Oryzias latipes: one gene and its partners. The protein of the gene in region 5 interacts with the protein of the main gene of each other region in a pairwise test. Links are inferred from orthologs where the notes say so. Each region holds a gene or a part of one and is shown on either strand. Other genes may lie near its edges. The genes, in order: mylip, scly, nmd3, map2k5, lnx2, phykpl and c19h10orf88.

Region 1 (4,194 bases), on a different chromosome or scaffold from region 5:
CCTGATCAAAATATTCAGAAACACACAAAAAAAGGCGGGTCAAAAATGAAGTATAAAGATGCTTGATAAGAACGTGAATAATTTAAGGCTGTGCATGGAAAAAAAAAAACAAAAAAAACAATCTGATTAAAATTAGTAAAAAAAACAAAAAGACAAAGATCTGTGGAAAAGCAAAAGGACAGATGCCACCAATAAAAGGCTAAGCCAAAGTCTAATGAAAATAATATGCAATTATTGACCTCTGAATATACAAAATATAAAGATTTTGTGATTAATTCGTTCTCAAACAAAACAAATCCTCGCAATCCCAACCTCATTAAGGTTAGGTTGTTAGGTTTAAACATAGTAACTAAAATAAAAAAATTGTTTTAGACATTGAAACTTCCTAATCTATAGGAAATCTACAGAAACTGTGTGTGTGCGTGCACATGAACACTTAAGTGACCAGTAAAAGCTTTATGTGGCAGCAGAGCACACAACATCCTTATATAATCCACCATGAGGTCAGCAGGTTACATAAGCGGGCTGCAGAGCGGCCTATACAGACAGGTGCCAACCGCCCAGCGCATCTACAGCGAGCGCGAGTCGTCTACAACCTGCAGGAAATGCCCTTCACGTCACGACCAACACCTGATTCTTTTCTCCACATGAAATGTGCAGCAGAGGAGCATAATGAGGAGTGTCTGCTTGAAGTATATTAAGCAGAAAACTATTTTTTAATTAGTTTGTTTAAAGCCAAGTCAAAGCTATTAAAAAGTTTCAGGAAAAAGTTCTTAAAAGAATTGCACCACAATCTGCACAAATAGGGATTTAATATGCAAATTAAGTAACAAAGTTCCCTAAAAGATCAATTTATAGTTTAAAAATGGAACAAAAAGTTTTTTTTTAAAGTAAAATGTAAGTGTTACAGCATGTTTGTGTGTGCTGCAGCCATGCATACCGTTCCCTGTCACTTCACTTTATCTCTAGCCTGACCCTACCACCCTCCACTCACCCGACGCCAGCTATCTGCTGATAACCCCAGCTAATCGAGTGGCGGTCGGAGCAGAGGCAGCCAACTGTCCCCGTGCCCTCTCCCCCAATTCCCCCCCCCCCCCCCCATCACATTTGTCTCCGGAGAGGATGCCAAACATGGACAACAGCAAATGATCTGATGTACCAAAATAATGAGTGAATTCAACATAAGTAGATTAAAAATAAATAAATAAAATAAAAAAGAGGGAATAAGTCGAGTGAAGTTGTCGGTTTCCCGGCGACATGCCCCCCCCTTATAAAAACAATGCACAATTAACTTTTCTAGGACCCAGTCCAGTTGGCTCAAATCATGAAGAAGAAAAGAAAGTAGTGGATGAGTTTTTTCCTGCTGGGGCTAAGCATATTTCTGACAAAAAAAAAAAAAAAAAACTAACAAAGGGTCCACCAATGGCACAGTTTCAGCTGTGACTCAATGACCCACATGAGAGAAAACAAAAGCGGTGGGGGAAAAAATAAAAAAAAAGGCACTGCTGGCCCGTTTCCAGAGAACATCTACAAACGTGTCAAAGTGTTAAAGTGCTTGTTTAGAGAAATAAAACAACAAAAAAAGCTACAAACAAGGTTCACTCATAGAAGCAGAGACATGGGGGGGGGGGTTCTGTTTCGTCAGAATGGGTCTCTGGGGAAGCGTGAGGAGCTGCTGGGATCACATTTCCAGCCAAAATGACCTACAGTAACCCCGGAAGAGCTCCGGAGAGAGGTTACTACAGGGCATTTCCACTGCACGGCCTGCAGGGTGTTTGAGCAATGCCTTTGTTTTGAGTCAGCCAGAGCGCTCTCCTCTTTGTCAGTCATAGGGAGCCACGAGGAGAAGAAGAAAAAAAGAAGAGGGTTGAGGGTTCAAACACTGAGCTGGTACCTGGTCTGTTCCTGCAGAATGAGATGGGGCTCCACAAAGAACTTGACCCGCAGCCTCAGCCGGCAGGGTGTCACATTATCCATCTGCTGGCAGATGCGATTCCTCAGATTCAGCCACAGATTCTCTCCTTTGCTGCCCGTGAACTGCAGCCCAAAGTAGTCCGCTTCAATGATGCCCAACTTCCTGCAAACCTACAAGCAAGAGAAGAAAAAAAAAACACAACGCCGTCTGTTTCACTGCTTCAATACAAAAATAAAGTAATTTAATTAGTCAGAAAGTGAAGCAGGTTACAGCTTGTTCCTCAAAAGCACAATTATAGATATTTTTATATATAAATAAAACCAATAGATTTTCAGAGCTACAGGGAGGTGATTTTAAAGCTCTTTGTCTTTTTGCGCCAATAATAACCAGAACTAAAAGTTTAGAAAAGTTTCATGTGCGCCTCCTGAAGAATGAACTTTAGTAACCCCGGACACTCAGCGCCTCTCACTTAGTGACTAAGCTCTGCACAAAAGTGACCGCCGGCAATTTTCCCCAGCACCGCAACCAAAAAAGCGCTCCAGACATGAGAAGAGTTAACAGTTTTTAGCTGGGAATTCATGCATTTATGTGTGAAAACATGTCAAAGCTTTTGTTTTGGGGGCTAACACGCGGATCTATTTACAGGAAGTTCAGCGCCAGAAAATAAGCAAACGTGGAAAACCTTTGTTGATTTTGAACCACAATGTTGCGTTTAAAAAAAAAACAACATAGTAATTTGTGATGTAATATTTGAAGCTCAACTTTACCTTATTCAGACAGTCTTCCCCGTTTGCCTTCGCATCGACTTGCACTTCCATCACCACCGAGTCCGGACGAGTCACGTGGCAAAGCATTTTTGGTCGCTGTCCGTGGATCTTTGGTGTGCCACGCGCTGAAACAAACAACTTTCGTGTCCTCTCCAAAACCGTCACGTCCACATCAAGCTTTCTTCACGTTCAGACGCTTTCACTACGCGAGCCGAATCTGCGCTCCCCAGCTGGACCCTATCTCAATGAAACCCGCGAAGAGCACCGCCCACTAAACACTGACCAATCAGAGGCATCTTAAGCATTCTCTCTGAGATCTTTTAACCAATCAGGAAAGCTGATCAATTCTTAACTCCTGAGGGCGCCCCCGTGTGGCCAAGCTTATGCTTATAGTTCGGGGCTTTTCACTGACCTGAACTGAATAAATTAGACATTTCTCCAACTCCAGAAGACCTCGCGGTGAGTTTAATGAGTCGTGCTGTTCGCCTTTCTGTTCACAACATGTAAATATTCCATGAGACTACTGTCTAAATATAGATTTTCATGAGAGGGAGAGTTTTCCGGTTTGCTTGCTCTTTGATGCTCACATGCATTTTTCATAGTGGCTTATTTTTTCCATCCAATTTTACCTTTTCTTTTCTTTTCTTTTCTTTTTTAAACATGTCTATGAAGACTCTCATTCGTCCAGGTTGGTTCCATTGTAGTAGGTTTAGGGGTTGTCATCTGGACTTGGTTTTTAAAGTTAGAAGACGTTTCACCTCTTATCCAAGAGGCTTTGTAAATGTTCTTTTTTAAATAGAACAAAATTCAAATAGATGTAAAAGATGATCATTTCACTGTCAGCTTTTAGACTCCACAACACCTCATACACACTTCACTGTCATTTATATTGTAGCCCAACTAATGTTGTTACTTATAGATTTTGGTGTTATTTATAATCAGTATTATTATTATTTGTTGTATTTGAAGTTATTGTGACAAATCTATCTATCTATCTATCTATCTATCTATCTATCTATCTATCCATCTATCTATCTATCTATCTATCTATCTATCTATCTATCTATCTATCTATCTATCTATCTATCTATCTATCTATCTATCTATCTATCTATCTATCTATCTATCTATCTATCTATCTATCTATCTATCTATCTATCTATCTATCTATCTATCTATCTATCTATCTATCTATCTATCTACCATGCAAGGATTCTTGCATGGTAGGGCAGGGCGGGAACCAAACCGGCAACCTTTTGATCAGAGGGGAACTTCTCTACCTCTGCACCATGACCTCCCAGTGCTTTAATATGATTAGGGTTGAAAAATAAACATTAGCTAACCACTGATTAATGTGATAAATAATATATTTAGTAACGGAAAGTCATGCATAAAAGTGGCACTTACCACTTTATTTAATATTTAAGTAATGTTTACTGATGCATTAACTAACATTAATTGTAACGTTGTTCAACTTGTGTCTTTTATGCTGTTTTTCTATGTGATGTCTGT
Region 2 (4,448 bases), on a different chromosome or scaffold from region 5:
TAACATCATCCCTTTTCATCTTTGTGTGTTCTGGTGTATGCGTTCTGGCAAATGTCTGTGATAACCTCAGAGAGATCTAACACTTTCGGTGCTCTGATGTTCGAGCATCTAGCCTGCAACAGTCTGTGGGTGGGTTTTTCACACCATGATCCATCGAATGAGGTTCTGAATATGCAAATGCAAGGTATATATGCCAGGCCTTTTGTTGAACCCCTTTGTTCGGACTTTGAATGCACTGTGTTCATCTGTCTGTAACCCTGCGTTCAAATCTGTGGTCTTTGTGCGGAGTAAATCTACAAAAGATAAGTTTTGTCTCTGAGTCATTATTCATTATTTCTGTGTGCAGGAAGCTGAAGGGGAACAAACCTAATTACCTATTTTACAGTCCTGTTTAGAATCTCCAGTTTCCTCACAGTAGTTATTTTCCCTCCAGTTCATTCCAATACAATTTCATGTAACCTTACAAAACAAATCAAATAAAAACAATAATATATATTTTTTAAAGTTATTAATTCATTGAAATGTTTTATTTTTGTTTATGCCAAAGCAACTGCGATTTTTGAACAATTATATAATGACATTATGCATACACAAAAAAGAACAACATTATAGTAATGTTTTTGTCCAAAAACAATGTAACTTCAACAACTAAAAACTTTTTTGATTGAATAATTTCTTTTTAATTTAGTTTAAATGTCTCTGTTGGCCACTTAACCATAACCCTGTGTCAAATTACTTTTATTTAAACTTGACCTCAATTTTTTTTAAGTGCTTAAATCTGAAATTCAATTTGTCCGTTTCACGTTTACGTTTGTTGTGCTTTATGACATTAAGCAGCAGCACAGTAAGAGTTGCTGTCACTTTAACCCAATGCATCATGGGAATTGTAGTGTTAGCAGTGGCACTAAAGTTGTAAAGAATAACATCCTGCAGGTGCATTAGTTTATGCATTTTTTTATATGGCGTGTACCCCAGTGGGCATCGATTGCTCACTAGATCACATCTATGTAGACCAAAATACACAGTGTTTGAACAATTTTTGCAAAAAAAAAAGTTATATATAAATGTGTTTTTTAAATACCATAGAACACAGTGGATTCATAAATGGTCGCCGCAAACGCTAGTATCATTGAGATTTTCCCTTCGTGAAATCGATGACGACATATTCGCTGTTTGTAAGAAAAAAAAAGAAGTCTGTGTCTCTGCAGCCGTCCACTTCAGTCCTTTCTTCCTCCTCCAAAGACAAGATCTCTACATCTGTGTGACGCTTCCGTCTGAAGAGACGCACTTTTTGGCATTTTTAACGTTCTAATGCTAATATAACAGACTGTTTTTATTCATCTTTGCTGTTTTATGTTGAAACGGGACGTTTCATCTGAAGTATGTAACATTGTTCACTTTCCGCATTGATGTTGTGCGCATGACAAGTTCATGACGTAATGAGACAGATGAACTTCAGGGTGTGTGAATGAAAAGGAGAATAAAGGCTGCAGCGGTCTTCTACACCCAAACGTGTCTCTGAGCTCCTTATTTTACATATGAAACTCCGCTTTAGTGACACCGAACTCCGGAAAGCCGGCTCCACTGACAATAATCTGATTTTGAGTCGTCAAAAGGTTCAGAATCTCTTTGTTTTTTAAACCTATCCAGAAATAAAGCTTCACAAAACGCTCCACATATTTCATCTTCAAGCAAGGCTCCGATAAACAGAAAACTTTAATCTCGTATTGGAACAGTTATGACTTTTTTCTCTCGTAAATAAAAGTTGTAATTTAAAAAACAAGAAATTTGTTTGTAAACTGGCCTTAAAACTCTGTGGTATTTATTAATGATTTATACAGTGAAAGCTTCACTTCTGCAGATAAAGACAGATGTCAGTTCCTGCTGAGCTCTCAGCCCTCCATGACTGTCCACTCTACTCCAGTCCAGTTTTCTTTTCATCTGGTAAATTATTCCACTTTCTTCGTCTTAAGATATTTTCGCTCCTAGTTCGTTGTCCCATAAGAAGAACCCATGGTGACATCAATATAACAGAAAAACATTAGAAATGGATTTTGTGGTAAAATACACATCATTTCATGGGTCTGGGTTCTTATGGGTTAAGTCGATGAGTTTTTCCTCACATGATGGATTTCAAAACCCAAGAACAAACAAACAAACAGAGCTAAAAATGGAGTCATGCAGGAAACTGGGTCAACGTTCTTATAAGCCCCAGACATGTTCCACTGCTGGTTTAACTGTGTTTTTCACCGCTGCTAGGTTTCTACAGGATGAGATAAAGCGACGCGAACACGGAAACAGCGCGTGCGCTATAGAAGATGTTTTAGGCGAGCAGCCAGGTTTCCGAAGGAGTCTACGTTTGGAGTTAAACATGTCTGACCAAGTTCAGACGGAGTTACTCGATTCTAGTCCTCACAGAACTCCACAAAAAAACAGACAGGCGACACGGGTCCGAACCGAACACACCTGCTGGCCGGAACCGCAGCTTTCCGGAAGAATGTGTCCTGGTGACTGGTCGATTGTGTTTACTTTAGGTTTAGCTTGTTTAGCTAGTCGCTTTGGCTAACAGACTCTGGCTGCTCAACCAGTTCGTCCGACTCCGACATATATAGGCCGACTGGGACGAACTTCTCCTGTTCTGGCGGAAGAACGGACGAATGACCTTCAATCTGACCTTGAGCGGTGAAAGAGAGATGCCTTTCCCGGACTTCTGCTGGCTGTTCCCGCCTGTCCTTTGCTAGCTCAGGAGTCGCATCTCGGGCTCGCCGGGTTGCCAGATCTGATCTCAAACGTGCACCCAGCAATTATCTTCTACAGGGGAAAAAATGTCAAAGAAACACACGCACGTGCGCGCACACGCATCCAAACGCTGAGACAAACACCTACAATCACACGCGCGTGAGCTCGTTAATTTATTTTTATGTACATTCTACTCAAATCAACACAAACGCGTTTACGTATTCTATTGCACAGTGCAGCATCCATCAATACATGACAGCGATCATAGAAGGAAATGATCACTATAACTGTGCACACACGCACGCGCACTGCCTTCAAATATCCATTCCCAGCCTTTATCTGTTAATAAATACATTTCAAAAGTAAAAACTGTACTTTTGAGAAAATTTAATAGTAGCCCTTATAGGAAAAAGTAAACACTTGAAGTTTATTTTACTAAGTATATCTGTAAGTGTAAGTAAGTATAATTATATATAAGTATATATATGTAGTAAATATACTAGTATACATGTGTAGCATAGGAAGTATAATAAGTTAATACTTCTTTAGACTAAATTGGAACATTTTAGTTTACAATATATAGATAGGATAAAAAGAAAGTAAACTGCAAGTATGCTGCCCTTACTTTTAGTACAGACTGATCTCCCTCCCATAAAGAAATCAAATAAAACCCAAAACACACACTTCTTTGTGTTGCATAAGTTCCATGTTTATTTAGTATATGACAAGGTGTTTAGTGTACACAAACACCTGACACTAAACTCCAACACTCAGACACAGACTGAACTACTCCCCATTGAGTTTGTACATGGGTGAAACGTTATAGTACACTGTTCACAGCACTCGTGTTTATATACACTGCCAATTTGAAGAAAGAACGGAGATGTACGGATGCAGAAAAGAGATGTGGAAGCACAGACATGTCAGCTATGACCGTAAAATGATGTCATAGGATTAGAAAAATGTGTATTTTGTGTAAAGACTGCCAGAGTGTGATGGTGAGGGAAGAGTGACAAGAAAATAGCATGAAAGTAGCAGATTTCTGTACAAGGTATAAATTAGCAACTCAGAGCTAAAATCCTCCCATGCATCAACCAGCAGGTTATTCCAGTGCCTCTTCTAGTCTCCATGTGGTTCTCCTAAAAGTTTCCGTTCTACAATCATAAAGGAACCACAACAGGATCCAGAAGCTGTTTGAGCAGAAGCACAGTACATTCAGTGTGAGTCTTTCTATAAGTGCAGCAACAAAACTTTGGTTGGTTCAAATGTGATGCAGATGAAAACATGATGGAGCTCAGTAAAAGACAGTGAGCAATTCCCACACACACACTCACACACTCATGATGATAAAGTACCGCTGGATGAAAGGTTTCCATCATGATGGTTGGATGTTGATGCGACCTTGTGTATCCAGCTAGAAAGACTAAAAACAATACTTCAAAGAAACACTTGAAAGTGTAAAAATGTTGAACTGGATTCACTTCAAAAATTTCCACGAGACACAGAATACAGGCTAAAACAAGCGTTTTAGGAATGACAAACACCTGGTGATACGCTCCAAACCTCAGACTTCAGATCCACCCGTTTGCATGTACATCACCTGGTTGTTACTGAGCATGCTCTCTAGGCTGGATGACCTGAGGCAGGCTCATCCATCCAAGTCACCGTTTGCTTTCAGGTTCCTGCTCATTGTCAGCAGTACCCATGGT
Region 3 (4,227 bases), on a different chromosome or scaffold from region 5:
CTTCCCCTTGACCATTTTGACCGCGTCCCTACTGGACTTGACGATGGTCTTCACTTCATCCGTGTGGAAGAAGTAACTCCACAGAGCCAAGCTGATGCACAGCAGGAACAGGGTCTCCGGTCTGAGCAAAAAATAACGCATGATCCGACCTAACAGCGACAGCAGGGTCATCGTATCTTCTATCATCTATTTGTCTCCGTGCACGAACTCGCGGCAGGTTGACGGTCGATTATCCAGCCGAAGATTTCACTCCATCATTCATTCCACGCAGGGAGACATTCAGATAAAACTGGCCGAATGGCAGGGGACACTTCACCGCATTTTGGAGACGAGACGCACCGAGCAGCCGGGTGTATTTATTTACAGACCGGGGAAACCCAACGCGGAGCTCCGGCTGGTGTGCAGCAGCCCCGCTGCAGGCAGCGAGGCACTGACCTACCAACCAACAGCTGAAGGTCCAAGACTCCAGCGGACGCCCCTCTACATTTACGACTAAACCCGCGTTTCAGCCTTCACTGTAGTAGACCAGTATGGGAAGAAGCTCAACGACCAGTTCAGTCACTTATGCCAACCCTGAAAAATAGCGCCTGAGCTGCGTTCACGCTCCCGGTGGCCAGACTGACTGAGAATATGTGCTGCTGCCTTTCTTTCTAAAGGTTGGTGCTGCCTTCAGGTACACCTCGTTCAAACACATCGCCGACAGAAACACACCAAATTAATGTTTTTGTTTATTTTTGAAAACTCTGCACAATCGGAGAGAAAAGCGTTGCTATTTATCCTCTGTTAAGAATTAAGTGACCACTGTTCAAACTACAAAAAAACAAAACAGAACAAAAACTTCATAAAAACAAACAAATTAGGAAGAGGCGTAAAGAGACAGGATATATATATATATATATATATATATATATATATATATATATATATATATATATATATATATATATATATATATATATATATATATATATATATATATATATATATATATATATATATATATATATATATAACTATATATAACCACTTAACAGGACTGACAGAACGTGTAGTTAGTGCTAATGCATTACGGTTAAAAAGATGTTACCCAAAGCACAGTACATTCAACAAACATGACAGATGTCACAAAAAAACAGTGGAAAACATGCATTAAGTTGTTGCAATGGTAAAATGGGACTTATAAATAAAGCAAAATGTGTGTCAAATCAAGCTGTCAAACATATTCAAACAAGAGAGAAAATTAATCAGAAAATTAACAACACGCCATTTGGAAATAAAAACGTGTAATATGATATGTTTGTATTCAAGACAGCATAAACAAATTTCAGCTCGGCCATCAGGTGCAGTAATAATAATTGTAATTATGAAATATATTCAGGCACACCAAGACAGCTACTGGGGTCTTAAAAGTCTGTGTGACGCACGAGCGGTCCCTCGGTCCACGGCTGGCAAAACGTGGACGACGTTTCTTCACGGTTTGAGGTTAACTTTCAATCATTACTCCTTTTCTGCGTCTTGTCGGCATTTTTTGGTCAAATATAACTTTGGGAAAAAGTACAATACGTGCTATTGAATGTTTGTGAGAAACTACGCTAAGTAGTGTGTTTCTAAAACGGTCGGTTTAGCACACGTTGCTAACTCTGTTTTTTTTAGCGTTGCTGTCTGCTGACAGCACGAAAAATACGTTTGTGAAACCTTTCGTCAGAGTAGCCTACTTATAGAACATTGTTAATTATCTAACTTTTATGTCAAACTCTCAGTTATCAGCACTTTAAATGTTATTTTCAGGGAGGAACCTGTGTTGTTCTTGCCCCTAATGGTTCACCAATCTACAGAAATCATTGTTTTAAACTGAGCTGCAAGGCGGATTACCACCATGGAGTACATGCAAGCTCCTGCTAGCAGCAGCCAGGGGAACATGTGAGTCAAAACATCATCTCATTCTTTCAGTTTGGTTTAAAATTGATGCATAAAAAGTTTCTTGGAAATTGAGAAAACATCTGAGGGGATGTAAAATTTCTCATGTATACATGAGAAATTTTACAATTTATACATGATGTATTGCTAGGCGGTCTGGTTAAAAAAGAATTTGGAAATTTATTTTTGGTAGATTAGTAGTCAAGTTACTTTTAAGCTGTCCAAATATTGGACATTTTTGTTGTCACTTGTAAAAGGAAAAAAATGTTTTAGTTCAAAATAAGAGTAGTACCTCATATCTGAAATCTACTCATCTAAAGGTCGGTCATGCATGAGAGCAGTTTAGGTGTGACTTGTTTTTAATCTGTTCATGACACGTTTTGTCATTTGAGTTTACTGTGACCACATTCTTATTGGAAACTGACACTCCTCGAGAACAGCTTAAAGACCCACTCTGATGTAAACTGTGTTTTTAACATGTTCTTGTGGTGTTTTTGTGATTATTTAGGACACGTCAAGAAAAATCCTCTTAAAATTGAATTTCTGAGCATTTCTTTAATCAAATAGTTGCTAATCGGGAGCAGCTCGAAAAAGAGCTTATTTGTGACATTGAAAATATGCCGGGCTAGCCACAAGCTCTCTGCTCTGCGCAATTCGGATGTATCCACATGCAGACAAACAGATCCACGTACGTCTTCTTTTCCTCATCTCAGCTGGCATCTGGCTCAAAACTGTACGTCTGGATAGCTCTAACATTGCTCGCCATTTTTGTTGCACCGGCAATGCTAGGGTGGGGTTGTGGGAGCGTGTATCAGATGGATGATAGAAAGTAGGGGCAGGCTTACCCTGTACCAAAAGCTCCGCCCACAACTGAGAGATGAATTTACTGCCGCTCTGCATAAACATTCCTAGAAAACAAGTTTGTTTTTTTTTGGCTAAAAACAATATGATCCTAGATAAAAGACCACTGGTGCTTTTAGAATAGATCTAAAAATGATCATAGTGGGATTTTATAAAGTGCTTTTGTTCTAGGGCTTTGTTTTAGGACGGTACTTTTTTTTTCTTGCCCTCAGAATTTGCCACTTGAAAGCCATTTTGAATGATTTATCTGATTTAGTATTTCTGTTTTTTTTTTCGCAGCCTCTGTTGTACCTGTGGTGTTCCCATTCCTCCAAACCCAGCCAACATGTGTGTAGCCTGTTTGCGGACTCAGGTGGACATCTCAGAGGGAATCCCCAAGCAGGTCACAGTACACTTCTGCAAGCAGTGTGAACGGTTTGTCAAACATTTGCTTAAAACTTCCCAGTTTTTTGTTTTTCTTTAAAGATGGCCCACGCTCTGAGTTTTCTTCTTTGAAATGTTGAGGTATCTGTTGTTTCATGCAGGTACTTGCAGCCACCAGGTACATGGATGCAGTGCGCCCTGGAGTCCAGGGAGTTACTGGCCCTTTGTCTGAAAAAACTGAAGAGCTCAATGACTAGAGTATGCTTGATATTTGTTTTTTTTATTTTAAACGTACAACATAAGGGTTTTATTTCAAATCTTAAAACTGTTTTGATTTATTAAAGAAAGTGATGTTAGTAGATTGTAATCTTTTCCGGGAACCAGCAAATTCAAACCTGATCCTACGTTCACACCAGGCTCAAAAATGTGGGTTCAAGCAGCCACTTTAAAAAAAAAAAAGTCTATGCAAATGCACATAAATGTGCATTTCAGGCTTCTGCGTACCAATCGCATCGCCATTGAACACATGTTGAACTAGTTGAACTTTGACCATAGAGGGGCTCAGACTTGGTAGTGACACATGGGTAGCGTCCTTTTCAAAACACGGAAGGAGAAATTAATCATTTTGGTTTGTGTCCGGCTGGAATTCTATGACACCAACTCTTTCTAATATCGGAATAGAGCTGTGAAAGAAAAAGCCTGGAGGAAGATTTGCACCGCTTTGACATTTTGCAGCAAGCCTCCTCTGTGAGTAAATGCATTGGGTAGCGACAGTCCAATTCTGAACACCATCCAATAAAAGTGCGTTCAAGATGCCTGTTTTAGCGCCTTCGTGAACCCGCATCACATGCCTGGTGTACGTAGCATTACGCTTCCATGCCAGTGATTTAAGGAAACAACAAACTAATAAATTCTCATCTGAGAATAGTTGAATCTTTATATTAGGGCTGTTGTTTAGATGATCTGTGAGATGGATTATGGCTATTTGTGATGATGTGTAAATTGATGCCATTTTGTGGCTCTTCATCATACTCAGGTGCGTCTCATCGATGCTGGTTTTCTGTGGACAGAGCCTCACTCCAAGAG
Region 4 (3,327 bases), on a different chromosome or scaffold from region 5:
GAATCAGTCAGATAGCTGCTTTGATTGGCACAGCCATCTCTGCATCGAGTCAATGCTGACAAGCATCAAAATGGAGACATGTTTCATTTATGGACCTAACTAATCAAAATCAGTCACAATCATTCATTCATTCATTCATTTATGAGGAAAATAGATCATCAAGGTTACTTTAAATTTAGTACTTAATACATGCAGATGATTAAGCTTTCTGTTTTTCTTTAAAATTCCGACAAATCATAGTTCAAAATATGTTTATAATGGATATTTAACCAGTTTTAACATCATTCTTGTTAGGTTCATTAATATTTTATTGTCATTTTGTGACTCATTTTTAAAATTTATTTTCAAAAGTAGAGTTGATTATGCTCTTAACATAAAGGTATCATCTTTTTTTGTGGCTCCAATCTGTTTGGTAATAAACCGAAATATTAAAGTTGAATAGAGATAGTACTGATAGCTGTTTGGACTTTCTGTTTTATTAAGAAAACCAATTTTTTCTTGCTTTTTTATGACCAATTAAGTTCATTACAACATAATGGCTGTTTATACAATTATATAAAGAGATAAAGAGGAGATGACATTTATTGAAATGGGGAATTTCATGTTTATTTCTAACACAACCTTTAATTCTCCAACTCTATTCAAAAGAAAGTTGGGCTTGAAACAAAATATCTGTTTAAAGCAAATGTTATTGAAATGTTTTTGCTACTTCTAGTATTCTAATACAATATTTTGGAGGGTTGTCTTTTTTTTTAAGACAAACTTTTCTTTATCTTTTTTATGCAGGATCATCCCTTCATCATCCAGTTTAATGATGGAAATGCAGAGGTGGTGTCCATGTGGGTTTGCCGCTCTCTGGAGGAGAGGCGCACTCAGCAGGCTCATTAATGCCTCCAACCGTCCTCTGATGGACACAAACGTTTGACTTTAAACGTCTGCAAAAGCCTGTACAGTCAAGAATGTTTCCTTGTATGAAACCCTCACAGAACTGTATTTTTTGGACAAGAAATTGGGTTATTACATGCGATATATCAACTATTCTTTTTATTTTTTTTTAGCACAAAGTATTATTTTCAGTACCACCCTGCAAACCCGGAAATGTTCTGAACATTTTGATGAAGGAAGATAAATATTTATGGTCCAAAAGAGTGCACAACTTCAAAACCTGACAATCCAACATGATCAGCCTGTGCTTTCCTGTTTTCTATTGGGATATTATATTGCACATCTGGACCAGAGCAAATATTTAATATCAAAGTTATGAGATTTCTCATCAACAGGGCTAAAATTAGACTAATTCTACATTTTTTTTTTTACCATCAGTGTGATGCCCAGTAAACCTGCAGTGTGTCATTTCTGAACTCCGCAACGGAAAACTTCCACTTGGTATATTGTTGTCATGAAAAGAGGTTTTTATGTGCTTTGAGTCAGTTTACAGTTGGGTTGCACTTTGTTTTGTTGTTTTTGCAGATTAACTGTTTTTTTTCTCTCTTCATTTCTTCCTTGAAAATGAAAACATTTTAAATATAAAAGAAAAAGACAGGACAGTTTAGAAAAACCAAAATCATATATTTATTTTTTTTATATTTCACATTCACAGTGTGCCCAAAATATCTAAGAAAGTAAAGCAAATAGATAATCATTGAAATACCTTCAGATAATAGAACGAAAACAAAAATTCAAATTCTTGGTACACCAAAGAGGAGCTAAATGCTGAAATAGCTACAGGAAATTCAAAACTCTGACAGATCTCAATGGTCTTTATTTGCATCCAATGAAATCTAATTCATTCAAATGTAATCCCATTACTTATGTGGTTCACAAAGAAAACGGAGGGGTATGATATGTAGTGTAAGAATCAAGAGACACATTTTTGTTGTAAACTGCTGGCACATAAAGAATTATCTAATCTGTGAAATAGATTTAAATTCAGGTAAACCCAGAACTGCATCTTTTGACTAGCTGAAATGCTATCTCAACATTTCTAGCTCTTAAGAACTAAAACAGAATCACTCAAAAGATGGACGAAATTTCCAAATGTGTCTCAGACCCAAACACAGGCTAGATGTGTGAAGATGATCATGACACTTTTTTTTTGTTTTTGAAGGACTTTCCTTATTGAAAAACAAGCAAAGTTTTTTAAATTTCACATCTGCTACTTCTTTTCTCTGCACTTTTAATCATTTGATTACATAGAAGTTGTAACGATGATGTTTTTCAGAGATCCATCCAGCAATGGTACACAGTGTGTGTGTGCTGTAGACTGCAAAGTCGAGCACTTCAGTCCTGTGCTCTTTCAGAAGCTCATCAGGGAACTCTGCTTCTGCTGGTTGTGGTTAAAACTTCAAATACAACATTTTTAAGTGAACTTGAAATGTGATTTGTGGACCTGAACACGTTAGCCTTAAATGTTACAGATTTACAATATATTTAGCTCAAAAAATATAAGGAATTATTGTTTATGTTATGATTCTGCTATGAACGAGGGACTCATTTGTGTGTCTTTTTTAATGCTCAGCTTGATGACAGCATGTCTGGTGTCCTGCTCGTATTTTGTTCTTGTTCAAACCACAGAGTCTCTGTTTAGTAATGATGCGCAGCAGAAGCCTCAGTGCTGTGAAATGACTGACTGAACAGGCCGCCCCTTTTTTAACGTTTTTTTTATGTCTGTTGGCACAAAACATGTTAAATAAAAGTTATTTGAACAAACGTTCACAGTCGAGGTTTAAAGGTGTGTCGATTATTTAGGAAAAAACTGTTTCCGTCTAGACTTTTTGTTAAAAAGAAACTGTTATTATTATCTGTTACATATTTTACAATAATAAAAGACCACAGACTGATGATGGAGGGAGCAACGATAGTAAAAGAAGTGCAAGAACGTGCATCAGTCTGTCGACTGGAAAATGTGGCAGTTCATCCGATTCTCTACCCAAAATCTTCCGGGGATGACGGTGGACTTCAGGGAGGAACCCCACCCCCACTTACAACCCTCAACAGAGGTTCCTATGGCCCCCCACCATCTCAGGGGACCTGAAGTGAACCTCCCACATAGACTCCATCCAGAAGAAGACCCAGCAAAGATTGTACGTCCAGCATATTCTGATCATCTTCTACTCTGTGATAATCCCGTCTGTCCTGACCTCATCAATCATGATCTGCAACCAGACGCGACAAGGAAAGACCGCAGGGAACCATCAGGTCTGCAGAGAGGATTATAGGGTCCAACCTACCCTCCATCCAGGATCTGTGCTGGTCAAGGGTTGGGAAGCAGGCTGGTAAAATCCCCATGGACCCCTCGGACCCCGGCTAAATTCTTTTATAGACTCC
Region 5 (4,302 bases):
GTGACTTTTGTAACTGCATTAAATGACGAGTGAATGACAGCTTCAGAACATTAGCTTTGACCTCTCACATCTGAAATAAATCAAGAAGAAAAAAATAGTTTTGATAAATCAGCGTCAGCCCAGAAAATAAAAATGTCTGAAAGCATATTTTCAATTCCAGGAAAGTTCACAGGGTTATACCGTTTTTTTTAGACATAGAATCACTACAGACACACAATCAATAAATAAATATTAATAATAAATTTAGTCTATATGTGTGTGCTTTTAGATGCCAAGAGAGACAAGTGTCTTTGGGAACCTGACGAATTATCTATAATAGAAAACTAGTTAAACACAAATACAACAATAATAGAAGCCTCCAAAAAAAACAGCTAAACCTATGAAGTAAGATTTTACATGGCGTTTTATGTGGAGGCTGTCAGGGATGACATTTCAGAACCATAACTCACCATCCTGCAGGGCCCATGGTCTCAGCTCTCACCCTGGCTCTGTCTGTCTCCTTGAGGAGTTCCTCTATAGCCCGTCTGGAGGAAAAGACGTAGAAAAATGCGGATAACAACAGAAGACCAAGATGACATAAAAGCTCAAGGGGAGACTAATATAATTATGTGCGAGCGAGGAAGAAAATAGGAGACGCGGAGGAAGTGAATCATAAGTAATTGGGACATCAGCGGTGTCCCCGTTTAACCCGACCAGCTGAGGCATTAGTCTCGCAGGGGGCTCTCTCTGATTCAGCCGATCTTATAGCACGTAGTGAGAACAGCTGTTGATTGCCAAAAGGCAGAGTGTGTTGACTGCTACACAAGATACACTCCGTCCCCTAACCAAAATAACCCCATAGCTACAGAAATGCATTATGCAAACATGCTAGCCTAATCTGGTGGTACCAGACACCATTCCCCCGATGTATTAGTTTAACCGAGCAAACGTAAACAAGTTAATCGATGATAATCTAAAAATAAAAAATACTTACTTTTCCAATTCATTATCTTCAGCCATTATGCCTGACCACCTAAAGACTTTAAAACGCAGAATTATTTCAGGAAATTTCTACAGGCTCATGTTAGGGGATTTATTTACCTCTGCGAGGTCCTTCTTTCGAGGACCTGATTTTATGACCAAAAGATGCCTGATCATTTCATTGTTTTATATTGTTAAACCATAACATTTTTTTTTAAATAAATAATGCATTTTTGTAAAATTCACGCCGTTTTTAGAACCCAAACATTTATTCTAAAGTAATTTAGTTACTAAAATAATAGTTGTAATTGTCACATTGAAAAACAAAAAATATTCCATGCCCTGTATGATCCCGAAGCTTTATCCGTTTATGTTATTACCTCTAACATATCGGAATCATAAACATATTAAAAGATTTTAATTCCCGCTGAATGGACGTTTTTGGGCAGGCGACATTGAAGCCACCTCTACTTTTTTTTTCTTTTTTTTGTGGATTGACAGCGGCAAACTCCGCCCAGTCTCTTTGACGGACAGCAGTGGGCGGGACCAGGCACCAAAGTGACGGGGGCGTTTTCGTGCAGGTTTGCGGAACGGGCCGTCCGTTGCGGCGACTGCGTGACTGAGGTCCCGCAGCTGCTAATTGTCCCGCCACCCCCGCCCCTCTTCGAGGCCCGGGCGCGGCGCAGAGGAGCAGCCTGAAGAGGTAACATCACATCTGCATCCTTTCACTGTAAGCGGCGTCAGTGTGTGTGATGCTGGCTTTTTCTGTTATTACCATTGTCGCCTCTTCTGTCCTCCCTTTTCGCTCCTAGGGGGGGTTGGACTCAGACAGTGAACGGGGGGTTTGAGAGATGGGGGGAGGGCTTATCTAAACATTGATGGTATCAAAAATATATATATATATATATTTTAGTAATTGCTTTGCAGATGGGGCGTTATTAAGGTAAATGCAGAAAATTGACAATAATAATTGAAAATGTAATTTACAGCAGGCTCAGTTTTTGTATTATTACTAATGCATGCAAAAAATAAATATATAATAATGTTCACATCAGTTCTCGTGCTGTCTTTGTGTGTTTAGTATTTGTAGGATGAAAGACATCCAAATGAGGTTTTTGTAAAATATCTGATACCTGGGTGCCTGATACACCTGAGTTTTTAAATGAGTGCCATAGAGTCTTTTGATCTTCTAAAAAGGAAACTCCTGCATGCCGCTGCCTAGTTCTCCCAAGATTAGATAGTAATCTGTGGGAAAATGAGAGCAAGTGCAGGACCGGTATCCTAATATAAAAAGATGAGCAAGTACAGCTTTGAACTCAGACAAGAAGGATTAAGAACGTGTCACACGCATCTGCAAGCCTTCACTTATTAAAAAAAATCAGCCCAGCGTGGCTTTTGTCTAAAATAGATTGTTTTTCAACTGCTTCCTGACTCAAAAATGCATTTACTGTTAAAACCGGAAGGCGTTATTTATTGATGAGGAGATTTCAGGGGCTTCTGCCTAAAAAAAGCCCTTGTGTGTTTCTGTTTGCTCTTGCTTGTGCATGTCTACAAGTCTGTGTGTGATGTGGTGATGTCACAGCTTTGTTACAGAGACAGAGAAGCCTTGTGTCCTCATGTTAAATTCATGTCCAGCTGCAGGATAGGGACAGAAGCAGCCAGTCAGACACAGACAGGAGCACGCACTTGAAGGAGGCAGAAATCTGTGACTACCGGCCTGGTAGCTAAGGAGACAGAGGAGACAGGTTGCATCAGAACTGGATAACTACACAGATGAGATTGAAAAAAAGAAAAACACAAAAAAGGGGGGAAAAAATCAACAAATTGGACTCATATATCATTGTCTGACAAGCTTTCAGCTTCTGCTGTGGAGGAGCACAGAGTCCTGCTGGGAGAAGTGCATCTGTTGTGCACCTCCTCTGCATCCTTTTCTGGCTACACTGTGAATGTCAAACCACACTGAACAGAACAGGATCCAGGTCGTCATGGAGACAGGAGCAGACCCTTGCTGGAACAGAGGCAGGTAGTCACTGTGGCTTGGCTGGCCCGCTGTGGGGAGAGGCACGCCCTCTGCTGTCCGCTAACAGCATCAGTTCCAGAGGGGCGAATGATGCTGATGAAGATCTGAAAGGCGTTGGATGTGAAACTCTGTGGAAACAATAAGCAAACACATTACACCACATTAACTCTGAAGACACGCTCTGCTTGCTGGAGTGCTATTTTTCACAATTTTGCTTTAGGCATGTTCCGTTTCTGTTGCAGAGGAGGGCAGCATCCTCCACACGTGGCCAAAAATATCAAGGGTTTAAAGGTTTCACAGTATTTTTTGGACTATTTAAATTACATTCCTGTCCCAGATTTTATCTCTCTCATTTTTTTTCAAATGTATCTTCTCTTTCTTTATTCCTGCTCTACTTTGTGTTTTTTTTCTGCATCAGGTCCAAATCTTTCTCCCTTGCATCTTATTCTACTTTTTTCTTCTCCCTCTTCTTTCCTGTCTGTGGCTTCTCCTATCCCACTTTCTCTCATCTGTATCCTCTCCCTACATCAATCCCAGATAATTCCCTCTCTGCGGAATTGGAAGATTGGAGTAGGCGAGAGTAAAAGAGAGATTATACTGTCAGATTAGCAGACAGGAGCAGCAATACATAATCTCAGCACAGTCACTGACATCCACATGGCACAGCCACAGTACTATAAACACACATTGCTGCCATCGGTGTCATGCAAACCCATGGGCACACGTGCATGAAGCATTTGCCAAATGATTGCGTGCACGACCACAGAAGACACTTGTTTTGATTTTTCTGAAACATCTGTTAAACTATTGCACTGTGCCCTCTGACCTCCAGGGAGATGCGTTATCAGCCACTGGGGGGCTTTGTCCTCTGCAACCTGTTCAGCCCGTGAAGCTTATGGGATAGAGAAGTGCGTAACCCTTGCCCTCCACACAACTGGAGTCATTTGTGCCAAAATCTGAGCTGTGCTGAAGGAGAAAAATGGGCAGCCCAGGCTGCGAGGTGGACGTCACACGGCCAACGGAGCCAACTCCCGAGACTCTTTGTCCAGAGTGTGGTCAGATCCACCGAACCTGGGAAAACCATCTCTACAACTACCGGCTGGAGGTGGACGACGACCTGGTGTGCCACATCTGCCTGCAACCGCTGGTGCAGCCTCTGGACACGCCGTGCGGGCACACCTTCTGCGCCCGCTGCCTGCGCAGCTTCCTCCAGGAGAGGGACTTCTGCCCTCTTGACAGGACGCGGCTGCAGCTGCAGGCGTGCCGCAGATCCAGCATCCTGGTGCACAAGCTGCTAGACAAGCTCTCCGTTTCCTGCCCTT
Region 6 (4,385 bases), on a different chromosome or scaffold from region 5:
ATAAACATCTCAAATTGAAACTAAAAGAAAAAAAAAGCCTTAAATCACCTGCTTTATCTAGGTCTCTGTGTGGTGGTTAAAAAGTGCAAAGGCTAAAGTACACTTAATGCTGCAACCAGAGTTAGCTTTTAAGTATTATACAATGAAATGCAATTATTTCAAATAAAAATAAAAATAAAGGAAATTTGATTACGTTTAGAGTTTGAGCTTTCAGGGTTAAAATCTGGCCTCCAGGGCCTGCCTTCTTGTGACAAACATGGTGCTACTATGCTAACTGTGGTTCACACCACAGTAGTCAAAATAAAGCTAGTCCTATAGCAAAAAGAAGAAAAAGGAATTGCACTAAAAATCTCTAAAAAATATATTTAAAAAATTGCACATCTAACACGTTTCCTAAAACAAACTATAAACAACAGTGTGTGCTCAGACTGACTCTGTCTGAATCTGAGCGACATGCAGGATGTGTGTGGTTAAATAGTAGTTGCATAGGTACGACTTGACTAAATGTCTTCATTTACATCCAAAGGAAATAATGAGTAATTTTTACTGCGCAATTCGCACATTTATGACGAAATTATGAGACAGCACGTGCTCTTTCACCAGAAAATGTGTCACGAACCTTACATGCAAAAAAAGTACTATCACTGTAATAAAGAAGGTATTATTGTGTCACGTCTCTACTAGCTACATACACGTATTTTCACGTGAAAACGACAAGGTAAAAAGCACGTTATGTCAGTAACACAATGCAACTAGTGACACATCAAGACGTTAGCCGGTTATGTTAGTTAGCTAAAGATTATAACCGTTATCTAAATATACTAGAAGTACGATATTTTATTTTGTTAAAGAAATTCCGGTTTGTTTGGCTCCTAACACAATTACTTAATTAAAAAAAATTGGACTTTGCATTACTGCGATAACTAATTAAAAGCAGCTAGCTTGGCCGTTTTACTTCACATAGCTAGCATGCTACAGCTGACCTGATGAATTACCTGCTTTCTATGGTTCCTTAGCAACCGAAGCGGGACACTGAATGCACCGGGTAACCAGAAGCTTTGCGGAATATTTATAGCCCTTGGACGATACCAATATAGAAAAACGTAATAGGTGGAACATTAAAAATTAAGGAAACGACGGAGCAAACATGTGACAGATGTTTTTGAATTAATTTGTAATCACATGCATTTTGAACTCAACAAGACCAAGAGGAAACGAATAAATGGCCTAAAACAAAATGTCACGGTCACCTTTGGATTTGTTAGAATAGCCCAATCGAAATAAAGCTACAGCGTGATTTAAAACAACTTTGAGAAAAATTACAAATTATTAATTATTTTTATTTTACAAAACATCAGACAGAGAATATTTGTTTGTTTTTCTGTTTTATCTTCCAGAAAAATTAGGCAGTGGAACTTTATGCAGCAGGGAAACAATAGCAGGAAAATGGGAAGAGACACGCTTCTCACGCATGCTCAGTGGCACAGTGCTAACCAGCTGAGTAGGAAGAAGAGTTGGGTAAATGTTTTAAACCTCCTGTAATCGACATATTATATGACTCACCGTTTCACGCTTTGCATGCTATGGCTGAAGAAAACTTTACTAAAGAAGAAACCCTCGCGATGAGACTAAGGCTAATTGGGTATGTGAAGTGAAGTTTTGATACTCTACTGTGCTATGGACACTTAAGGTACATGTTTCTTACAAGTAATTGTTTTTTTATTACAGGCAGTCATGTCGACTGTTTTACAAAGAAGACCCTGTCAAAATAGTGAGAGCAAGAGGACAGTACTTGTTTGATGAAAATGGGAATCGCTATTTGGACTGCATCAGCAATGTCCAACACGGTAAAATGCTTAGGGACCGAAATATGAAACAATTCTGCCTCCTAGTGGCCAAAGATTGTAAAAAAAAATGCAGATAATTGACCCCATGTTTACCCCCCACAGTGGGTCATTGTCATCCTGCCGTTACAACGGCTGCTGCAGCACAAATGGACCTTCTGAACGTAAATACTCGGTTCCTGAACGACAAGATAGTCCTTTATGCTGCTCGTCTCGGTGCCACTTTGCCTGACAAACTGTGCGTCTTCTATTTTGTTAACTCTGGGTAAGAAAGGCCCCGATATTTTTACAATTAGTCATTGATGGAATACTATAGTGACTGTTTATGCCTTTCCCACAGTTCAGAGGCCAATGACCTGGCCTTGCGCTTGGCCCAACAGTACACCCAAAACCAGGACGTCATAGTTCTTGACCAGTAAGCTCCATAGCTTCAAAAAATCTGAATTTACCCATTAACACCACCCTTAATGTAGTCTCCCCCTGAACCAGCGCTTACCACGGACATCTAATGTCCCTCATTGACATCAGTCCTTACAAGTTCCGGAAACTGGCGGGGCAGAAAGACTGGGTTCATGTGGTGTGTAGGTCTATGCACAAAAATTCTGATGGCGATGTTAACGTCTGCTTATCGGAGAGGATGCGCTTCGTCTTTTCCAGGCGCCTTTACCAGACACCTACAGAGGGATGTACAGAGAGGATCACCCCAACCCAGGCCAAGCCTATGCAGATAAGGTCAAAGACCTGATAGAGGAGATCCACAGGAAAGGTCGCAAGGTTCACTGTTCATTTTTATGAATATTCCTGTTAAGATTCACCACTCATCACTCATTAACTGTGGCTAGCACAATATATTTGAGTTAACTTGAATTGCTCTTTTGCATAGATCTCTGCATTCTTTGCTGAATCACTGCCAAGTGTTGGAGGGCAGATCCTCCTGCCCCAAGGATATTCCAGTAAAGTCGCCGAGTGAGTAGTGACTCAGCCGCCTTTTGTTTTTTGATTTAAATGTGATTGGTGCAAATCTACTTTGAAGGTACGTGCACTCGGCTGGAGGAGTTTTCGTGGCAGACGAGGTGCAGACGGGGTTCGGACGTGTGGGGAGTCATTTTTGGGCTTTCCAGCTACAGGGGGAGAATTTCTGTCCAGACATAGTCACCATGGGGAAACCCATGGGTAATGGTCACCCTGTGGCGTGTGTGGCAACAACAGTAGAGATAGCTCAGGCATTCACAGCGAATGGAGTGGAGTACTTCAATACGGTAAAATTATGTTCAACTAAAATTCTATTAGAAGAAAAAAAAAAGAAGCTTTTTTTAAGTAGATGCTCACAACTGAGTCCCGTATGTTAATCATTTAGTGAAATTCTTTATCCTGGTTTTCTGTGAAGCCAACACTTTAAAAATTTGTGTCGCACTGCTTGATGCAGTTCGGAGGGAATCCGGTGTCGTGTGCGATTGGCCTGGCGGTTCTTGATGTGATTGAGGAAGAGGACCTCAGAGGAAATGCCATAAGGGTGGGGGAACATCTGAAGGGGTTGCTCAAAAAGCTGCAAGCAAGACATGAAGTAATAGGAGATGTAAGGTAAGGAAACCAGAAATACCTTATTTAAAATCATTTTTAAAAAATGACAGTCGGTTGGGTGCTTCTTCTTCACTCAGCTGTTTTTACATAATTTCCTGGCCAGAGACCTTAAAATCGGTGCAATTTAGTACTTGGTCATCCAATAAGTAAACAGTAATAACTGAGCTTCATACACCTGTTATGTTTCAATTAAATGCATTAAAGTCCCACTCTGATCGTCTTTTGATCTACAGTCAAAGCGTCCCTAGTGGGCTTTTAATTATGATCGTGCCTTTTTCAGTCTAAATTTAGAAAAAACTGTTGTTTTCTAGAACAGTATCTGCAGAGCGGTAGTAGTTCATTAGAAATTCACCTCTGAGTTGTGGGCGTGGAGTAAGTCTGCCCACTTCCCATCATCCATCTGTTGACACTCTCCCATTAGCTGACAGCCCCTCCCACCCTAACCTAACATTAACGGTGCAACAAAAATGGCGAGCAATATTGGAGTTTTCCAGCCGTACAGCCTTGAGCCAGATTCCACCTAGGACGAGGAAAACAGAGACGTACATGGATCTATTTGCACACAGGTGCATCGAGATGCAGCGAAGCAGGGAGCTTGTGGCTTTTACCTTCATACCTACAAACTCCTTCCAACGGCATTTTGGTGTTTGCTCCTGGTTTACGATGTGAATAAAGAAATCAGCCTAATGTTCTTTATGTGTGTCCTCTATTGAGAGACAAATAGCACAAGAGCAAAACATGATTTTCATTAGAGCAGGTCTTAAATGTACCATTGTCTTTCATCTATTGTGGGATAAACTACAGTAACTAGTTTTGACTTAAAAACAAATGTCACTGTAGAGGTGGTTTATAAAATTAAGTCTACATGCATCCATGATGCTCACTGACCTTTGTCCTCTCTAGATGTGTGGGACTGTTTGCAGGAGTGGAATTGGTTACAGACAGAGAGAAGAGGACTCC
Region 7 (4,270 bases), on a different chromosome or scaffold from region 5:
GGGGTGGAAGCATCATGCTTTGGGGTTGTTTTTCAGCAAAGGCACCAGGACGACTGATCCGTGTAAAGGAAAGAATGAATGGAACCATGTGTGGTCAGATTTGGAGTGGAAACCTCCTTCCATCAGCATTCAAGATGAAACATGGCTACGTCTTTCAGCAGGACAACCAGCCCAAACACACGTTGCCCGGGTAACGAAGGAGTGGCTTTGTAACGAGTATTGAAAGGTCCTGGAGTGGCCTAGCCAGTCTCCAGATCTCAACCCCATTGAAAATCTATGGAGGAAGTTGAAAGTCTGTGTTGCCCAACAACAGCCCCAAAACATCACTGCTCTAGAGGAGATCTGCATGGAGGAATGGGCCAAAACATCACTGCTCTAGAGGAGATCTGCATGGAGGAATGGACCAAAACATCACTGCTCTAGAGGAGATCTGCATGGAGGAATGGACCAAAACATCACTGCTCTAGAGGAGATCTGCATGGAGGAATGGACCAAAACATCACTGCTCTAGAGGAGATCTGCATGGAGGAATGGACCAAAATATCACTTGTCAAGAGGAGATCTGCATGGAGGAATGGACCAAAACATCACTGCTCTAGAGGAGATCTGCATGGAGGAATGGACCAAAACATCACTGCTGTAGAGGAGATCTGCATGGAGGAATGGACCAAAATATCACTTGTCAAGAGGAGATCTGCATGGAGGAATGGACCAAAACATCACTGCTCTAGAGGAGATCTGCATGGAGGAATGGACCAAAACATCACTGCTGTAGAGGAGATCTGCATGGAGGAATGGACCAAAACATCACTGCTCTAGAGGGGATCTGCATGGAGGAATGGACCAAAACATCACTGCTGTAGAGGAGATCTGCATGGAGGAATGGACCAAAATATCACTGCTGTAGAGGAGATCTGCATGGAGGAATGGACCAAAACATCACTGCTGTAGAGGAGATCTGCATGGAGGAATGGACCAAAATATCACTGCTCTAGAGGAGATCTGCATGGAGGAATGGACCAAAACATCACTGCTCTAGAGGAGATCTGCATGGAGGAATGGACCGAAACATCACTGCTGTAGAGGAGATCTGCATGGAGGAATGGACCAAAACATCCCTGCTCTAGAGGAGATCTGCATGGAGGAATGGACCAAAACATCACTGCTCTAGAGGAGATCTGCATGGAGGAATGGACCATGCAGGAATGTAAGTCTTTACCTTGTGAAGACTTACAGAAAATGGAATATAACAAAGTACTGAGTTAAACTTTTGTTATTGACCAAATATTTATTTTGCACCATAATTTACAAATAAATTCTTGAAAAATCAGACAATGTGACTTTCTGGATTTTTTTCTCCTTTTCTCATAGTTGAGTTATAACTATAATGTAATTTATAGGCCTCTCTCATATTTTTAAGTGGGAGAACTTAAACATTTGGTGGCTGACTAAATACTTTTTTGCATCACTGTATAAGACAGAGTCTGTCATACGTCATAAAAAGTCTTGATGATGTTCGCACCACTTCAATATTGCGATTTTCGATATTTCGCACTAAACTGTAGGTGGTGGACATGAGCTGGGTAACAGTAGATAAAGAAGAAGAATCCCCTCCCTGCTTGTCAGGTGTGAACGCCATCGGCTAAAAGCGCGTCAAGAACCCACATTTAGCGTGCCACATGCCAGATACACCTGGAAGGTGTGATGAACCAGAGAAAAACAGGAATGTCCTCCATTTTCAGGTACCTGTTCACGGATACCATAAAACCACTACTGTGGAAAAGAATATCTGTCAAAACGAGCAGACTATAGACATTCAATTCAAATGTAAAGATGATATTACCAAGACATCATTCCAGTCTTCTGGGTTCCCTACTTTTTTTAATATACAGTGGAGGATTATGGGTACTTGTTTCAAAGATAGTATGGTGACCATTGACTGTCAATCAAAGGTTTAAAATGTTTGATGTGAGACGACAGGCTTTTATTGAGGCATCTGATTGGGCAGTTTAGACCTGGAATGACCTGCATTTAAGAAGTGTTTATAATTGAATTCAGGATGTCAAAAAGGTAGCAGAGCAAGAATGGTTACTTTGACAGATCAATGACTGAATAACAGCTGTTTATGTCTCTACAGAAGTCTTATTGGAGCCAGCAGGTACTTCTTTTTGGAAGGGCAGGGGTCACTCAGTCCAGTTCTTATATACAGTCAATGGTGGACACATGTCAGGACGTTCATTTGGACTAAACTTTGGACAGATGACGGAAGGAAAAACATGGAAGTAAACCATTCTGTATGGATCAGTCCAGTTCTCTCATAGAGTCAATGTATGGACCAAAGGTCAAGGGTTTTAGCCTTTACCTGACGTCTCAGGTGAACGTAGATACTCCTTACCCTTCAGCCTGTTCTTCATCCCACTGACTGAGCTCCTCTTCATGACTGAGAGGAAGAGGAAGCAACACCTCAGCCAGCTGACGGCCCGCTGCCGGACAGACCCAAGCAGCATCACCCTTCACAGAGACGTCCACCATCCTGATGCGGGACCCCACCTGGCAGGAGGCGGGACGGGGCACAGACAAAGGGGTATTCTGTTCACTCCATCATCTAAAAAAAAAACCTTCCCGTGAATTTCAACACAGACGCGGGCGCCATGCTGGGCTTATCAGGGGCATCACCTGTCTCAGGTGAGCGATGAGAACCAGAGTATCAGCTCACTCTGGGACATGAGGGGGGACGTCACGTGGACGCAAAGGTTTGTGTTTTCATGTTGGGACCTAACCCCGCCCCCCCCCCCCCCCCCCCGGGGTCTCTTACCTTCACCCCACCGGGGCGGCGCTCTTTTAGGAGAAACAGAATCCAACCGGTAAATGAAGACAACACTTGAGCTCGTCAGCTGCCGCAAACACCCAGGACGGCAATGGGCTCTGGGTGCGTGACGTCATCAGCCGGCGACTCGAGGATGTGAACGTCGGTGAACACGTGACCGGTTGTTTATCAGTGTCTTTTTTTCTGGCATGGACTTTACTGCGTGTTACGCGGACACTGTGTCCAGCGTTGCCGCCGCCGCGCGCGCGGGTCGCGCGGGGCGGCTAAGAGCCCTGCTTGGTGGGGGCTGTCCCATCGACTCCCGGGATAACCGCGGCTGGACCGCTCTGCACGAGGCGGCCGCAGCCGGCAGCAGCGCGTGCGTGCGAGAAATCCTGGCTGCCCTGCACGGTAAGAAGGAAGAAGCTGGAGGTCTGGGCATGCGCAGAGTCTATGGTGCGTCAGCTCACACTGCAGCCATTGGTCTGATGAGGACCAACAAGAACTTAGTGTCCTAAAGCTGTGATCGTGGTTCCGGTTGGACCAGCGCCTCCTACATCTTTTTAAAGCGCCTTTATAGTTGAGAGGATAAATACCACAAAATAAATGGATTCTGGCCTCCCACCACAGAGACTGCAGTACCTGTCAGACTCACCTGTACATTTCCTCATCCTTGGATGAAAGGCTGATGTTGGCGTCTGACTAAAAGGCCAAGAAAACACTTATTCAGTTGTAAAAGAATAAAAATAAAAAAGAACCTTTTAGACAAGGCAAGTTTATTTGTATAAAGACAATTGCTTTACATGAAACATTAAAAGAGACATTCAACAGGAATGTTGGAGTGATCATTAAAATCAGATTGAAAGAACATGAAAAAGAACAGAATTTAGATCAAGCAGAGATAAACGGTGCGGTTGTAAACGTTTGAGTACAAACTGATCAGGTGCAGCTGAGAACAGATGGGTGTCTAACGGGGTTTTTAATAGAGTGTTTCAGCTGATCTAAGGCTTTCTGGAAGTCTGTTCCAGATCTACCTTTTTGGTTTTGACTCTAGGGTCTGACACAAAACTGGACCCCGATGACCAGAAAGTCAATACATCACGAGTGATGGCGCTAAACCATTCAAAGCTTTAAAAAATCTATCCAGCAAAGGCCTCAGAACCAGACTGATGTGTGAGAACACCAGCAGTGGAGTTCTGAATGAGCTGCAGGTTTTTCTGGTAGTCCTGTAAAAACACTGTTACGATAGTCAGGTTAACTAATGATGCTAGTTTTTCCAGGTCCAGATCTTTAATCCTTGTAGAAATGAAAGAGAAGCGACCTCAGGATGGAGCCTTGGGGAACTCCTCGTGTAATTTCTGTTCTCCGATGTGAAGTTACCAAAGGACACAAAGTATGTTCTGTTTTCCAAGCATGTTTTGAACCGGTTAAGTACTGGCCCATTGAGACCCACCACGTTTTCCA

What was found.
Region 1: the proteins of lnx2 (region 5) and mylip interact in binary tests that used the Homo sapiens proteins (3 or more experiments, as listed by UniProt). The link is inferred for Oryzias latipes from reciprocal best matches to the Homo sapiens genes LNX2 and MYLIP.
Region 2: the proteins of lnx2 (region 5) and scly interact in binary tests that used the Homo sapiens proteins (3 or more experiments, as listed by UniProt). The link is inferred for Oryzias latipes from reciprocal best matches to the Homo sapiens genes LNX2 and SCLY.
Region 3: the proteins of lnx2 (region 5) and nmd3 interact in a two-hybrid assay, tested with the Homo sapiens proteins (3 studies listed by BioGRID and IntAct). The link is inferred for Oryzias latipes from reciprocal best matches to the Homo sapiens genes LNX2 and NMD3.
Region 4: the proteins of lnx2 (region 5) and map2k5 interact in binary tests that used the Homo sapiens proteins (3 or more experiments, as listed by UniProt). The link is inferred for Oryzias latipes from reciprocal best matches to the Homo sapiens genes LNX2 and MAP2K5.
Region 6: the proteins of lnx2 (region 5) and phykpl interact in binary tests that used the Homo sapiens proteins (3 or more experiments, as listed by UniProt). The link is inferred for Oryzias latipes from reciprocal best matches to the Homo sapiens genes LNX2 and PHYKPL.
Region 7: the proteins of lnx2 (region 5) and c19h10orf88 interact in binary tests that used the Homo sapiens proteins (3 or more experiments, as listed by UniProt). The link is inferred for Oryzias latipes from reciprocal best matches to the Homo sapiens genes LNX2 and C10orf88.

What each region holds. Positions count from the first base shown.
Region 1 is NC_019869.2:23,671,296-23,675,489, forward strand, and holds the start of mylip (E3 ubiquitin-protein ligase MYLIP), read right to left. Parts: upstream 2,944-4,194; 5' UTR 2,770-2,943; coding exon 2,683-2,769; intron 2,086-2,682; coding exon 1,895-2,085; intron 1-1,894. UniProt on the Homo sapiens protein: E3 ubiquitin-protein ligase that mediates ubiquitination and subsequent proteasomal degradation of myosin regulatory light chain (MRLC), LDLR, VLDLR and LRP8. Activity depends on E2 enzymes of the UBE2D family.
Region 2 is NC_019862.2:2,930,356-2,934,803, forward strand, and holds the start of scly (selenocysteine lyase), read right to left. Parts: upstream 2,814-4,448; 5' UTR 2,675-2,813; intron 2,646-2,674; exon of another isoform or gene 2,467-2,645; intron 1-2,466. UniProt on the Homo sapiens protein: Catalyzes the decomposition of L-selenocysteine to L-alanine and elemental selenium.
Region 3 is NC_019871.2:13,573,208-13,577,434, forward strand, and holds the start of nmd3 (60S ribosomal export protein NMD3), read left to right. Parts: upstream 1-1,380; 5' UTR 1,381-1,482; intron 1,483-1,788; 5' UTR 1,789-1,876; coding exon 1,877-1,920; intron 1,921-3,057; coding exon 3,058-3,192; intron 3,193-3,302; coding exon 3,303-3,399; intron 3,400-4,177; coding exon 4,178-4,227. Other genes in the region: ppm1l (protein phosphatase 1L), read right to left, coding at 1-186. UniProt on the Homo sapiens protein: Acts as an adapter for the XPO1/CRM1-mediated export of the 60S ribosomal subunit.
Region 4 is NC_019861.2:12,541,617-12,544,943, reverse strand, and holds the end of map2k5 (dual specificity mitogen-activated protein kinase kinase 5), read left to right. Parts: intron 1-786; coding exon 787-888; 3' UTR 889-2,717; downstream 2,718-3,327. UniProt on the Homo sapiens protein: Acts as a scaffold for the formation of a ternary MAP3K2/MAP3K3-MAP3K5-MAPK7 signaling complex.
Region 5 is NC_019878.2:17,477,117-17,481,418, forward strand, and holds the start of lnx2 (ligand of Numb protein X 2), read left to right. Parts: upstream 1-1,476; 5' UTR 1,477-1,663; intron 1,664-3,812; 5' UTR 3,813-3,959; coding exon 3,960-4,302. Other genes in the region: protein POLR1D, read right to left, coding at 450-524, 974-999.
Region 6 is NC_019868.2:17,086,726-17,091,110, reverse strand, and holds the start of phykpl (5-phosphohydroxy-L-lysine phospho-lyase), read left to right. Parts: upstream 1-1,411; 5' UTR 1,412-1,583; coding exon 1,584-1,642; intron 1,643-1,728; coding exon 1,729-1,847; intron 1,848-1,949; coding exon 1,950-2,109; intron 2,110-2,184; coding exon 2,185-2,259; intron 2,260-2,333; coding exon 2,334-2,421; intron 2,422-2,501; coding exon 2,502-2,618; intron 2,619-2,727; coding exon 2,728-2,810; intron 2,811-2,877; coding exon 2,878-3,103; intron 3,104-3,270; coding exon 3,271-3,425; intron 3,426-4,328; coding exon 4,329-4,385.
Region 7 is NC_019877.2:24,550,633-24,554,902, reverse strand, and holds the start of c19h10orf88 (uncharacterized protein C10orf88 homolog), read right to left. Parts: upstream 3,016-4,270; 5' UTR 2,816-3,015; intron 2,606-2,815; 5' UTR 2,533-2,605; coding exon 2,396-2,532; intron 1-2,395. Other genes in the region: ankyrin repeat and SOCS box protein 3-like, read left to right, coding at 3,016-3,217. UniProt on the Homo sapiens protein: ATPase that regulates mitochondrial ABC transporters ABCB7, ABCB8/MITOSUR and ABCB10. Regulates mitochondrial ferric concentration and heme biosynthesis and plays a role in the maintenance of mitochondrial homeostasis and cell survival.